3 linked regions of the Sus scrofa genome follow. The protein of the gene in region 2 purifies or fractionates together with the protein of the main gene of each other region. This does not show direct contact. Links are inferred from orthologs where the notes say so. Each region holds a gene or a part of one and is shown on either strand. Other genes may lie near its edges.

Region 1 (4,920 bases), on a different chromosome or scaffold from region 2:
AGTTTTTAGAGATAGTAACTCATGTACCTGCAGCATAGACAAAGTTATCTAAAACATAATCCTAGGCCGATAAGAGGCATAAGCAAGACTCTCCAGACCACTGAAATAGTTACTTAGAAGATATGGCTCAGGGATAAGTCACAACGAAAAAAGTTGATGAAGTGAGAACTTGCTCTGTTGAAGACTAAAAGTATCCAAACCACATGGATTCTATTTGTGAGTGCCAGCAATAGCTGTGAGCTTTAACAAAAAAATTACCTATTAATATATGAAATTGAAGGGACAAATTAGGGAACATTCCCTGTAATGGCAGACCCCTGTACTAGCACTAATACTATCTTAACCATATTGGTTAAATGATGGGGCTAAGAAAATGCAACATATTTAAGTGAACGTATGCTGCATCCCATGTTAAGTGCAATATTTAAATAATTCTCACTGTCACCCTAAAAATAGAATGAGGTTAAGAGAGGTTAGCAACTTGCCCAAGGTCACAGAGCTAGGCAAACACAAAGCTGGGATATGATTCCAGAGTCCACACTTCCATAATACCACACTAATGTACTTTTAAAGAACACAGCTGTCACTTAGGCAAGTCAGAGGAATGGCTGGCTCAAAAAAAAAAAAAAATACAGAACTGTTACTCAATAAACAATAGTTTACAACACTTACCCGTCTTCTTTTATCCATTGTCTCATAGTAAATATTGACAAATTCCTCAGCAGCTCTGCATGCCTGATCTACATAAGTTTTAAAATCCTACAAGAAAAACTTCATTAAAATGTACATTACCACTCCTCCAACCCCCTCACAAACACGAAATCACCAAGAGAAGTTGATGATTTATTTCATTTTGTAGCTCCATATATAGCCCACATTCTTCCATATAAATTTGGATATTTTAAAGATTAGGGCTCAAGTTCCCATTTTTTTTTTAATGCACTATTTTAAAGGATGTATCTTTAGGGCATATTTGTCCTTCATTAGTGAATTTCACCTTTTTCTCGGTCTAAATATAAATCTATTATCTTTGCTTGGCAACTGGCACTTTAGGCTTCCAACATTTTACAAAGCATTCACTTTAATAAAAATGATGCTGTCTGAAACTTAAAAAAAATGTGTGTGGGGGGGTGCGAACTGCCACTGGATAAGTTAGGAAGTGTTGAGTTCTCTTTTCAAGCGGTAAGTTTTTCAAAAGTTGCTGAATGGGGAAAAAAACTGAACAAGTTCAAGGAACTGCTTGAACTACTAGATACCTAGAAAACTTCCTCACAATACATAAAAATTCACCGGCGTTTGTAAAGAACTTTAAAACCGAAGAAAAGAAATGTGGTGGTATTCTCCCGCAGGAAGATTAAGTACTTTCTTCCCCAGGCATTTACCAGCCCAGCCTATTATTTGAATTAAGAACCAGTTCCGTTTCTGTCTCAGGTAATTGAAAGTTATTTAGAAAATCAAACAGCAAAGAATAGATTACAAGCCGTAAGCAACAGACCCCAACGTTCCCGCCTCCACCTAGCTCCCATCTCGGGGTCCTTTCCTGGATCGCAAAGCGACTGCACAGCCCTGGGCACGGAGGGTCAGGGGTCGAGGATGGTGGGGGACCGCAGAGAGCGGGCCCCGCCCCCGGCGCCTGGCGCGCCATGACCAGATTCGCCGCTTTACCACGTGACCAGCAGACAGCCCGCCCCAGAGCCCCGCCCCTCAGCCACCCGCGCTCAGGCACCCTGCCGCGGCCGCCGCACTCACCACGGACATAGCCATCGGGGAGCCCGAAGCACCCTGTTCCAGCAGTGGCGGCGTCACTACGTCTTCTCGTGTCCGGCTCCCACGGCTGCGTGAGGGTCAAATACTTAGAAAGAAAGCGAAACCCGCCAAACGCACAGAATTCTCTGCCCGCCCATTCTCCCCCGGAAGTAGCTCGGTCCGTTGTTAAAAGCACCCCGATGTACCAACCTTAAGTCCAAGTCTCTTCAGTTCCGACCGTACCCTCCTGTCTGCCGTATGTGCTCACTTGTTTGATATTTATTAACTTAGTTTCGAAAAAAAAATCACTTTGTTTTTGTTAAGGTACAATCTCAACAAAAGTATCCATTTCGCCAACCCGCCTAGAGACAGCATAAAAGATCTACTTAAAGCGTCCAATGGTGGGGGCTTCTTTGCTTCAGGAGGCGGGGCCAGTGCTAGCTAAAAGCCAATGTGGATTGTGAGGACACTGGCCAGATCTGTAACCAATAGGAAAAGTGGGTGGAGCTTGGGGAAAAGCGGGCAAACCTACTGCGCATGACTGGTAGACAACGGCTCAGCATTCTGGAATGTTCTGGAAGAATCGATCCACACTGCATTAAAAGCCAATGTCTCCTTACTATTCCTAAAATTATTGACTATTTGATTTGGCACTATTTCACTGGAAAAGGCTCAGTCCCTTCATTCTGGGCTGCATTTTCAAGTGTCTTGCAGACCTCAAATGAAGGTTGGTTTCTAGTAAACTAGCCATTAAACACTTTCCACAACCTACTCCCTAAAAATAGCTAAAATTTTACCGGCTGGTTATCAGGGAGGAGGGTACTTTTCTAAGCATTTTAACCCACATTCACTTAATCACTTACAATAACGATCTGAGGTAACTACTTCTGTTACATAGTTAAGACATAGAGTGATTACATAACCCCCTTACAGTCACAAACTAGTTGAGATTCAAGCTTAAGCAATTTAATTACCCCTGCAACACGCCCCAGCATCCTCCAAAACCGCTCATCTCAAAGCCCCCAACAATTTCTGGGTGGTCAAATCGATCCGGTATCGCCACAGACTTACCATGAATGGCTGGTATGTGGCTCCTCATGAAAATGGTCACTCTTTCCATGGGGTCTTTCTCTGTCTCCCTGAAACCAGTCTCTTCTGAATTTCCTCATACTTTTATCTGATTTTTCCCTCACTCTCCTTTCTTCACCTAGCTCCAACTGCAGCGAACTTCCCGCTGTACACTATGCAGCCTCCTCTGCTCCCCTCTTACTGGCGTCACTTCCGGTGGCGTCTCCCATTTAAAACCTCCCTCCCACGTGATCTCGATTGATACTTGTATGCTGACGAACCTCAAAACACATCTCCAGCCCCTCCTTCCCGCCGCTTTTCTGAGTTCCAATTCCACGTATGTAGTTTCGCTAAGTATGAAGACGTAAATACGCTACAGGTTTATCAAACTTGCAGAGTCCAAATTTAAAGGCATTATTTCCTCTGCACTTAGAATCTTTTGTATTATTTCAGTCATCTACGCTTGAATTCTTGGAAATTTTTTTCTTTGGTATCCCCCTGCCCCCCATCCCATCGTCATAATTCATTATTCATTTCAACGAATATTTACTGAACACGTACTGTGGGTCAGGCATTGTACAAGGTTCTTGATATATAGTGGTGAACAAAACAGGCATGATCCATACCCTCATGAAACTCACAAGGTAATAGGAGTGATAGACGATAAACAAAAATGAATTATAGAGGAGTTCCAGGTAACTTATCCAATTCTTCCCACTCTTTAAAGAAATTCTCTCTCTCTCTCTTTCTTTTTCTCTCTCTCTCCTCTATACACACATTTTGACTTTGCTCTATTCTCATTTCCCCTCAATTTTCCCAATCTTTAAAGACTTACCTTGGTTTGGTCTGAATTTATCTTTCCAGACTTCTTTCCCATTATTCACCAACACTGGCAAAGTTAACTACTACTGTTTACCGAAAATGACTTGTGTTCACTGCTTTATAGGTGACTGCTTTTTTAGTTTGAGAGCTTAGAATGTGTCTGGCCTTATTATGATTTCATACAATCCTCACAACACCCAAAGAGAGAAACATTATTATCTAAATTTATAAGAATTTAAACTTAGGTTCAAAGAGGTTAAGTTGGACAAGATGACACAGCTAGTGAAGCCAGGATTTTAACTCGCAACTAACTGTTTATCCCCAAATCTTTGTTCTTAGATACTCCGCTATCATGCATTTGCTTACACTATGCTTATTTTGGAATATTTATTCTCTTCATTTACGACTGCCCTTCAGGGAGGAGGACAGGTACAGCCTCCTCCATGGAGCCTTCCCTCATTTCATGTTGCCAGAACCCTAAGGGATGTGACCTGTCCTTTGGCTACGGGGCATGCCTGTTGGTGTGGGGCAATAATGCTGGGGACTAAAGGAGTATTGTGAGTACTGAAAAGGGACAACTGAGATAGAAGTGGAGGGAAGACTTAGAGTTTTGCACTGAATATTTGCACAAAACTCTGTACACTTTTATTGATGTGCTACAAGGAGGGGAGGGTGGGTAAACTGATAACAAGAATAGAGTAGGACTCGAGGGGCCTTCCTGGGGACAGAACACCCTGCATCCCCTGCCTCTGGTGTGTAGAAAAGCTTCAGCATCCTAGCCCTTCACTGAGTTCCAAACAGTAAATTTAATCAGAGAAATACAAACAAAGGAAAATAGTCAAGCAATACATGAGGTTAGCCATAAAAACAAAGTTAAAGACCTTTGGGTCCTCCTTTAGGGCTATAAATAATATCTGGAGCCATATCCTTGAGCTGCTTAGAAGATACTAAAACCCCTACCAGATGGAAGAAGTTAACCTCTAGCCACCAGCATGTAGACTCCAGACCAGTTGAAACCAAAAGGCTGTAAATGTTGATTCCTGAAACACCACTCAGTTGCCTCATCACCAACCAATCAGAAGAATGTCCATGATCTGATCAGGCATATTGCTGCTCTCTCCCTCATGTTGCCTTTAAAAGCCCTGCCCCAAAGTCATCAGGGAGTTTAGGTTTTTTTTTTAGGGCCATACTTGTGGCATATGGAATTTCCTAGGCTAGGGGTCCACTTAGAGCTGCACCTGCCAGCCACAGCCATAGCCACAGCACGCAGAATCCAAGCCATAT
Region 2 (5,086 bases):
GATCCCAGTATCCAGCACCCTGCACTACCAGACAGGAGACACACAATCACGACAGAGCCCACCTCCTGGCAAACTCCTCTGCCTGGCCAGGGAAAGAACCTTCTCCGTGGGATGGCAGCAAAAGGGAAACATCCCTGGAAAACTGTGTATAAGGCTTTAGAAAAATGAAGCAGAAACTGGAACTACAAAGGAGAAGCAGAATGTGGAAGTGCGAGTGTCCCGAGCAGTAACTGGACACAACTCACACTCGGTCAGGTCACCTGAAAACTGCCTGCTCTCAAGTGCCCAAGTCTACTTAACTCCACTGGAAATGTGGTCAGTGATTATATCTTGGGAAACCAATCACAAAGGAAAACCAATCACAAGGGGAAAAACCAATCTCAATGATTACATCAGCTCTGGTAAACAGGACTCTTGCCTATAGAGCACAAATGTCAGTTACAAATATGACCAATTTAAGACCTTTTTTTTTTTTTTTTTGGCTGCACCCACAAGGCATACAGAAGTTCCCAGGGCAGGGCTCAAACCCATGCTGCAGCAGTGACAGCATCAGATCCTCGACCTGCTGAACCACCAGGGAACTCCACAAGCATCTTCTAAAGTCTTGTTCTCCTCTCAAAAGACTAAAAATAGAACTACCATATGACCACCAGCAATTTCACCCCTAGATATACATCTAGAAAGAAATATATAATGCAAAAAGATTCATGTTCACGGTAGCACTATTTACAGTAGCCAAGCTATGGAAGCGATCCTAGTGTTCACCAAGAGACTAATGGATAAAGATGTGGTGCATACACACACACATAACGGAATACTATTCAGCCATCAAAAAGAATGAAATCTTGCCATAGTTGCAACATGAATGAACTTGCAGGGTATTACGTTTAGTGAAATAAGCCAGAGGGAAAAGGACAAATACTATGTGACATTACCTGCAGGTGGAATTTAAAAAAATAAAATGTATACAGCAAAACAGAAACAGACTCACAGATACAGGCAACAAACTAGTGGTTATGAGGGGGAGGGGCAAGATAAGGCAAGATATGGGATTAAGAGATACAAACTACTAAGTATAAGAGAGATAAGCCACAAGGATCTGTTGTACGGCACAGGGAATGACAACGATTATTTTCCAATAACTTTTAATGGAGTGTAATCTATAAATACAGGAATGACTATGCTGTACACCTGAAACCAACATTACATTGTAAATCAACCTTCCTCAATTTAAAAAGATTTAAAAAAAAAAAAATCTTGCTCTCCAACTGCCACTCTCAAGTGAATGTGAAGTGTGAGTGACCCAGAGTAACTGGACACAATTCGAACCCCTCAAAAGTCACCCGACATCCGCTTTCTGTGGGCCCACCCAAATCTACTTAACCCCGAGGTGACCCCTCTCACAGGTGGCAAATCCGTCCTCATGATTACACTAGCTTTCGGGGAAACAGCTCTCCTTTTGCCCATACAATACAAACACCACACACAGATAGGACCAATTTAAGGGCTTCTTTTAAAAGTCTTATTCTCAAACTGCCACTCTGAACGTTTGGGAGTGAGCTCTTTGTTTTCTTGGTCAGAAAAGGCTTTTAACTAAGGAGACAACTCCTGAATTCAGGTTCCAGTGGCAGTTAGGATGCTTCACCAAGGGTCCTCTCCAAGAATATGATCCTCTGAACCCTGGTGTGTAGGAAGCGCTTCTTAAAAAAGACCCATGAAGGAGTTCCCTGCGTGGCTCAGTGGTTAACGGACCCAACTAGGATCCATGAGGATGCGGATTCAGCCCCTGGCCTAGTTCGGTGGGTTAAGGATCCGGCGTTGCTGTGGCTGTGGTGTAGGCCAGCAGTTACATCTCTGATTGGACCCCTAGCGTGGGAACTTTCATATGCCTCGGCTGGGGCCCTAAAAAGCAAAAAAAAGAAAGAAAGAAAAAAAAAAAAAGACCCACGATACAGATGGCCTACAGGCACATGAAAAGATGCTCAACATCACTAATTATTAGAGAAATGCAAATCAAAGCCACAATAAGGTAGCACTTCACACCAATCAGAATGGCCAACATTAAAAAGTCCACAAAAACAAATGCTGGAGAGGATGTGGAGAAAAGGCAACCCTCCTACGCTGTTGGTAGGAATGAAAACTGGTGCAGCCACTACGGGAAAGAGTATGGAGGTTCCTTAAAAAACTAAAAATATGAGTTTCTCAAGAAGTTACCCTAGGAAAAAAGTAATAAATGCACACAAGTCGTTGCTAACATTCACTGAGCACTCTTCTCCAGTGTCAGGCACTATGCTCCAGGCACCTGACATGAATGATCTCGTTTTAACACACACACACACGGAGACAAACTCAGAAGGCTGGTACTGTTTCTATCCTCATTAAGGAGATGGAAAACGAAGTCTGAGGGTGTAAGTTACTCAAGCTTGGCATAGCCAACTCGGGATTGAAACCTCGGCTCCTAACCACCGCTCTGGACTAAAACTCAGTGTAGTGTTTGGACCAGAACATCGAGTTGATGTGCAGATCTAAAATATTAAGCCTAAGCGACAGACGCGTTAGGTGGGGGAGGGGGCAAAATCGCCTGGACGCGCGGTAGAAAATAGGGCACATCAGCCCAGGAGAAGGGCACTGACTCACATTAAACAGTTTGGCCGCCAAATTGAACTGACAGGCATCAACCACCCACAAAGTTCAAAGGAATCTCATCACCCCACCACTGAGCCACCTCTCCGAGTCGCAGGGGCCCGCAAAGGGAGGATCCCAGCGTCAACAACCCCGGCACCCAACCCTCAAGCTCACCCAGGCCCCCGGGCTGCCTCGCCCCGGGCCCGCGCCGCGCCACCGCCGTTCCCCGTGGACGCCGGGCCCCTCGCGGCCTCACGCCCCGGCGCTGCGGCCTAGGCTGGCGCAGCCCAGCAGGGCCCAAGATCGACCGGCTCCCCGACCCAAGGGCCAGCACTGACCGTTGTATGACTTCCCTTCGTCCGCCATGGCGCAGCGAGCAGGGGCGGGCTCTGTCGCGGCCCGCGACACCGGCAAACGTCCGAACGCCCAGGCTCTCCCGGCTGAAGTGCTCCTACGCCGGATGCCGCCGCATTTATGCGGCCAGCGCGTCGCGCGCAGCCGACGTCCCACGGTGATGGGCGGAACCACTGGGAGACGCGCGTGCGCATTCGACGAGCGGACTAGCCGGGGGCGGGACTTGGCGTTGCACGCCCCGCCCAGGACCTGAGCTTGGGAAGCCGAGTTACCGCGGGTTCGCCGGCCCCCTGCTTTCATCCACCCCGCCGCTAGTAGCTCTCTGCTGGAGCACCTCCAGGGTCAGCGGTGAAGCGGAGAGGTGGCTACTGCAGCCCAGGATTCCGAGAGGAACAGGGAAGAGGGGCTACAGGAAGGGCTTCCGAGGAGTGGGAGACCAGGCCCTTAGGAGCGGGAGTGACCGCACATAGACACCTAGAAGGATCCAGCCAGGGCAAGTCTCAGCTCAGCCCTTTGACACTTGCAGATCTAGGCCTCGGTCTCCTCGCCTATAAAATGAAATAGAAAACTAACGGTAAACTCCTAGAGAGCAGGGGCTTGATTAATTCACGGCTTTTTCTCTCCGGCACCTGACTGGATACCATACTTAGCACGCACGCAGCAGGAACCCAACATATATTTGTGAAATAACTACTGATCTATGCATTCCCTCCGAGAGAGTTGCAATCAAAGGAGAGAAAAACGGCATTTGCCAGGCTTTGGCTGTCTTCACAAACCAACCCACCCACCAACCCACCGGGATGTGCTATGCTAAACCCACGTCTTGTGTCAACTGGGCAGTGAGGAGGCCAGCCTGACCACACGCTGAACACAGGCCAAAGGGAGAGGAAATATTAAAATGCCATGGCTAGGAAAGACCTGGGCTCTCCTGGACCCCTCAAAGTACTGGGGCCAGCACAGTGTATAGTGACTGTTGTCTCTACAGCTTGAGCTTCCTTTCGGGTGTGTGAAGTGGGGGAACTCCAGTGATGCAGGATGATGTGGTTCTGGGTCCTGGTCAGGACTAGAAAGCATATTAACCTCCCTGGAGGGTGGGTGTTCCAGGCAGGTCACTCCTTCATTCTTCTGACTGGCTTGGATGTGGTGAGGGGCTTCAAGGGGACCAAGAGCCTCAGCTGGAGCTGGGAACGGATTCTTCATGTCACCTTCACTCCTAGCAGCAGGCAGGGCTCCTACTTCATCCAGCGCAAGTAAGTTTGGGGCCAAATGGTTGGAGCATGCAGATGAGACAGGTCCAAATACTTCTGGAGATGGTCCTGGAAGTTGCCGTCAATCAGGGACCCAGGCTGGGATCCTGTTACGGGCCTCTGAAGGGAAGTTTCCATGCTAACTAAGTGCTGCTACACCTGGAAACCCCCTGCGGGAGGCAGCTGTGTGCACAGAGTGAGTGAGCCTGGCCCGTCAGGGCCATCAGCCCAACCCTTTTAGTTATGATGCTGGGCAGTGGGCTCACTCCACTTGCTGCCAAGGCCCTTCGACGCTCCCACCCCGAAATGACGACATGGCTAGTGAGGCTGACAGTCTTGTTGTAATTGGGAGGAAACGGGCCGCAGCACATTTGGCAGATTGAGAGTCATCTGCAGCCAGAGTTGGGGTTGTGTAGGCAGCCAAAGGGCTCAGGGCCCCTTGCCTCACATGGTGAAGAGAGGAAGAGGTAAATTTTAACCCAGATGGGAAAGTTGGTCCCTGGGGAAGTTTCACTTCCTCTCCTCACTCTCAGGAAGGTGGGGAAGGGCATCATCTCCCCTTGCTGCCAGAGTTGAGAAAGGCTGGGGAGGGTTTATAAAAATCTCCAGTGGAGACAACCTCCCCGAAGAGCCCTCCAGTTGGCCTCTGCTCCCTTCCAGCCACTTCACAGCAGAGTCCAAATCCAGAACCGTGTGTTTCATGGGCCTGAGGATGGTGAGGGGAGGACAGGGTGGCCAGAGGCAAGGAGTGGGAGATCAGGGGCAGTGGCCGTTCTTAGCAGTTCCAGGGAAACAGGGCCTTTCTCCCAAGCACCCTGCACAGGCTCAGTGGCAGCTCTGGCCACCTGCCCTCCCAGGAG
Region 3 (4,868 bases), on a different chromosome or scaffold from region 2:
CACCTTATTGATTTTTCCTTATCTACTTATCAAGATTCTTCTGGAAAGGATTAAACAATAAAGATCTTTTTATATTCTTTATATAGAAAGAATATCAATTTTGTAAAGCCTCACTAATTAAACTTTATTCTGTTAAGAATTTAATGACAAAAAAAAGAATTTAATGACAATTACTGTTGGACAAAACATAGGTAATTTACTGAGAGTACTTATTATATGCATAGCTCCTAATAGGCCTCAATAAATATTTTTTCACTCTGAATACAAGTCTATTGTACAAAAGAGAATTTCTAAGAATATAATAATGTAAACAGTACGAAAAGAAGCAATTATCCAACCTATAACAAATTGCTTTCAAGCTCATTTAAGGAAAACCCTGATTGGCTTGCCTGTCTTTTTAGCTAAGTATTATTTATTTCTATTAAAGGAAGGCCAATTCTAGGCTGAGCTTTGCTAACCTGGTTGCTGTGAAAAAATAATAGTACTGTATACTGCTTTTGTACAGTTGTACTGAACACTTTCTTTAAGAGCATGTAACCAATTACATGTCAATATAAATTAGGGAGTTTTTTTTTTTAAGAGTTGTTTTTATTTCTGCTGATTCTTTTGAAATCAGTTTCACCTACATAAATTTCATATTAAATTAAGATCACATTCCCAGATTCAATTTGAATGTGAAAGTTACTTAATTTGATTCAGTGAATATTCTAGTATTTCCTAACATGACCTACTAAATAATTCTCAAGTTATGGTTATTAAATATCAACAATATTAGTTTATGAAGGGGGGTATGTCTTAATCCTTTCATTGCAGCTTTCAAAACGTATTTGCCTTTCCTAGGTTCAGTATTTCTGGAGAAACATTAAAGAAAAATTCACTTTTTATCTTACTTTATTCTCCATCTTAGTTTCATTTTTAAATCATTGTCAAACATTTTGGCTTAGGTGTGAAAACTTTAGAACAAAAACAAGTTTAGAGCTTTTGCACAGGTATCAGTTTTTAATTTAAAAATCATCTTTATATTATAAAAGTATTACCAACATTTATCTTTTAAGATGTATTTCCGTATGCACTGTGTATGTTTGTGCTGTAGGTCAATCTGAACAGCTGTATTCAACCACAACTTTCTTTTCTTTTTTCAACATTTCATAATCTTCTGTTCCCTCAAGAAGGTTGAGAAATTCTGGAAGGAAAAACTCTTAGTGGCATGTTTATACTACTTTTATATTGTATAAAGAAATTAACTTCTCACTAGCCAAGTACTGGACTGCAGTCAGTACTGAAGTATATAGGAGAGAGAGGGGAACTACTGTTAAAGAATGACAGGGCTTTGACCAAGAGTAAAACTAAGAAGAGGAAAAATGCGATGCAAGAGTGCCCCAATGATAGAAATCCAAATGGGTGGTTTGGGAGTATAAAGCAACTTAAGAGTGAGGCTTTCTGAGAAAAGACTGTGTTAAAAAGTGTGAAACTGTAAAGCCATCAAGCCCTAAACTAATCAATTTGTTGTTTCTTCTCTAAAGGAAGAATAGTAATGAAAGGGACTTGGTCAGCTTGATGTCTTAATTAGAGAGAGCTAGACTAGCTTAGAGTTTAGCACTTAGCACTGTCTTGGAAGGAGCAAACCTATGTTAATTAACCACCTCTCAGCTGTACTTAGACCATTGACTTTCCTTTGTTTGATGTTTTGCTACTGAGTTATTAGTCCCTGAAAATTAATATCGTCTACTGTAAATTAACAGACATAATTTTAGTTCAAGGGGGAAAGAAGTGGGGTGGACTGGGAGTTTGGGGTTAGTAAATGCAAACTATTACATTTAAAATAGATAAACAATAAGGTCCTACTGCATAGCACAGGGAGCTATATCCGATCTTCTGGTTCAGACCATGATGGAAAATAATATTTAAAAAAAGAATGTATATATGTATGTGCGTATGTATATACTGACTAAGTCACTTTCCTGTACAGTTGAAATTGGCACAAATCAACCATACTTTAGTAAAAAATAAAAAAATAATTTTAGTTCAAAAATCTTTTTTTAGGAGAGATGGTGTAGTGTAATGACGAAGAGTGTAAGTGTCACGGAGTGTGACAGAGTGGGGTTTGAAGCTTGGCTCCACTATTAAAGAGCTGACTACTTTTAACCAAGTTTTGAATCTCCTGGTACTTCAGCTTGCTCATCTGCAAAATGTGATTTAATAATAGTACCTTGTCTCAGATGTTAGTATTGGATGAGTTAAACCAAGTATGTAACATTGCATACTGTCTAGCACACACAGAGTGTTCAATAAATGTTAGCTGTTAGTAATAGGAGGAGAAGGAGCAGCAGCAGTTTGATTAACCTTTGCAGTTGCTAAAAATTTGATATGAGTTGGGCACTTGACAAAATTAAAGTTTCTGCAAAGCTGAGGACTAGACTCTGGAACATGGTTGTGATCAGCTTTGGACATGCCTGAGATATCTTTGTCTCTTTACTCAGTGATTTCAGTATGGGAAATTGCCACTTTTCTTTTTTGACCCAATCCACATAGAGGAAAATATTCTGGCACATGTAACATGCAAATACTTAGAAATTGTCTTCATGAAAAGTAAATTTCCACGAACCCCAAAATCAAATTCTGAAACTTTCTTAAGGGTTCTATGCAAAAGTATTTGCCTATAGAATGGGGAGATGTGTTTTCATGAGCAGTATGGAAATTGTCACTTTTTATTACAAAGTTTAGACTTGGAAGCTAATTTCTATAAGAATAGGTACACCTTTTTTAAAAAAGTGAATGATGGAGTTACTGTTTGGGCTCAGCAGAAACAAACCCAACTAGTATTCATGAGGATGCAGGTTGGATCCTTGGCCCCTCTCAGTGGATTAAGGATGGGGCTCAGATCTGGCGTTGCTGCAGATGTGGTGTAGGCCAGCAGCTACAGCTCTGATTCAACCCCAAGCCTGGGAACTGTCATGTGCCTCCCCTATGGCCCTACAAAAAAAAAAAAAAAAAAAACAAAAGAATGAAATCTACTTCAAAACCTATGGCAAATGGAAACATACACTACAACTCTCAGATAGTTATGTTTAGACTGCATATGAAAGAAATGGCTTGAAATTCAGAGGAGGAATTATTCATTTTTATTTTAATTTTTAATGGCCACACTCATGGGATATGGAAGTTCCCAGGAGCCAGGGATTGAATCCGAGCCACAGCAACCTACACCACAGCTGCAGCAACACTGGCTCCTTAATCCACTGCAACAGACTGAGGGTTAAACCCGCACCTTCACAGTGACCCAAACTGCTGCAGTCAGATTCTTAACCCACTGCACCACAGTAGGAACTCCAGGAAGAAGTTTTTAGATCACTAGTCTGACCATCTCATTTTTCAAAGGAGACTAAGAATTGCTGCATGATGAGTGCAGTGGTTCCCAAATCCTGCTGCAAGGACTGTCAGTTTGAGCATTGATGAAAATCTCTCCAGTCTCAGAAAAATATAAACTATTGCCAATCATTCTTTCTTGGGAAAAAATCTTTTCTTCTGTAATAATGTCATTTTTTTCTGTTAAAATGCTTCTCCCTACTCCTCTTTTTTAAGGAAAGGATGCTAGGAATCATTTTTTTAATCCCATGTGTTTTTCTTTTTTATTTAATTTTAATTTTATATTGGAGTATTGTTGATTTACAATGTTGTGTTAGTTTTAGATGTATGGCAAAGTGATTCTGTTATACATATACATATATTCATTCTTTTTCAGATTCTTTTCCCATATAGGTTATTACAGAATATTGAGTAGCTATCCCTGTGCTATACAGTAGGTCGTTGTTGATTATCTATTTTATATATAGTAGTGTGTATATGTTAATCCCACACTCCTAATTTATCCCTCCCTCATGTCTTGTCTTTTCTTTTTTGTTCTTTTTAAGTCTGTACCTGTGGCGTGTGGAACTTCCCAGGCTAAGGGTGGAATTGGAGCTGCAGCTGCTGGCCTACACTACAGCCACAGCAATGCAGGATCTGAGCTGCATCTGCGGCCCATGCTGAAACTTGCGGCAACACCACATCCTTAACACTATGTTGGGTTCTTAACTCCTGAGCCACAATGGAAACTCCTCTCCGTCGTGTGTTTTCTTGATTGAAAAAAGTTTGTCCCCTCCATTCCCTAATTTTTTTTTTTTGTCTTTTTGTCTTTTGTCTTTTTTGTTGTTGCTGTTGTTGCTATTTCTTGGGCCGCTCCCTCGGCATATGGAGGTTCCCAGGCTAGGGGTCGAATCAGAGCTGTAGCCGCCGGCCTACACCAGAGCCACAGCAACGCAGGGATCCGAGCCTCGTCTGCAACCTACACCACAGCTCACGGCAACGCCGGATCGTTAACCCACTGAGCAAGGGCAGGGACCGAACCCGCAACCTCATGGTTCCTAGTCGGATTCGTTAACCACTGCGCCACGACGGGAACTCCCCTAATTTTTTTTTTAATCTAGTTTTCCAAATTCAAGAGTCTAGAATCTATAGTAAGGAACAAAGTATGACTTTACCCAGTAAAAAATATAGAAAAAAAATAAGAAGAGCAAAAAAGAAATGTCTATCCTTACTAAAAATGCAAATTACAACAACATGCTATTTTTGTCAGGAGTGCAGTGAAATTGGCACTTACACTAATGAGAATGTGAGGAGTTCCTGCTGTGGAGCAGTGGGTTAAGAATCAGAATACAGGAGTTCCTGCTGTGGCTCAGTGGTTAATGAATCCGACTAGGAACCATGAGGTTGTGGGTTCGATCCTTGGCCTTGCTCAGTGTGTTAAGGATCTCGCGTTGCCATGAGCTGTGCTGTAGGTTGCAGACGAGGCTCCGATCCTGATCCCGAGTTGCTGTGGCTCTGGTGTA

Evidence for each region. The genes of interacting proteins can lie anywhere in the genome.
Region 1: the proteins of NXF1 (region 2) and NXT2 purify together in Homo sapiens (co-immunoprecipitation; 5 studies listed by BioGRID and IntAct, counting the BioPlex papers as one, with this or other methods). This does not show direct contact. The link is inferred for Sus scrofa from reciprocal best matches to the Homo sapiens genes NXF1 and NXT2.
Region 3: the proteins of NXF1 (region 2) and SRSF7 purify together in Homo sapiens (affinity purification with western blotting; 3 studies listed by BioGRID and IntAct, with this or other methods). This does not show direct contact. The link is inferred for Sus scrofa from reciprocal best matches to the Homo sapiens genes NXF1 and SRSF7.

The regions. Positions count from the first base shown.
Region 1 is NC_010461.5:89,682,782-89,687,701, reverse strand, and holds the start of NXT2 (NTF2-related export protein 2), read right to left. Parts: upstream 2,970-4,920; 5' UTR 2,916-2,969; coding exon 2,818-2,915; intron 2,229-2,817; exon of another isoform or gene 1,957-2,228; intron 1,835-1,956; coding exon 1,750-1,834; intron 1,661-1,749; exon of another isoform or gene 1,646-1,660; coding exon of another isoform or gene 1,496-1,645; intron 760-1,495; coding exon 673-759; intron 1-672. UniProt on the Homo sapiens protein: Regulator of protein export for NES-containing proteins. Also plays a role in mRNA nuclear export.
Region 2 is NC_010444.4:8,967,973-8,973,058, reverse strand, and holds the start of NXF1 (nuclear RNA export factor 1), read right to left. Parts: upstream 2,992-5,086; coding exon 2,964-2,991; intron 1-2,963.
Region 3 is NC_010445.4:101,597,530-101,602,397, reverse strand, and holds the start of SRSF7 (serine/arginine-rich splicing factor 7), read right to left. Parts: upstream 2,970-4,868; 5' UTR 1-2,969.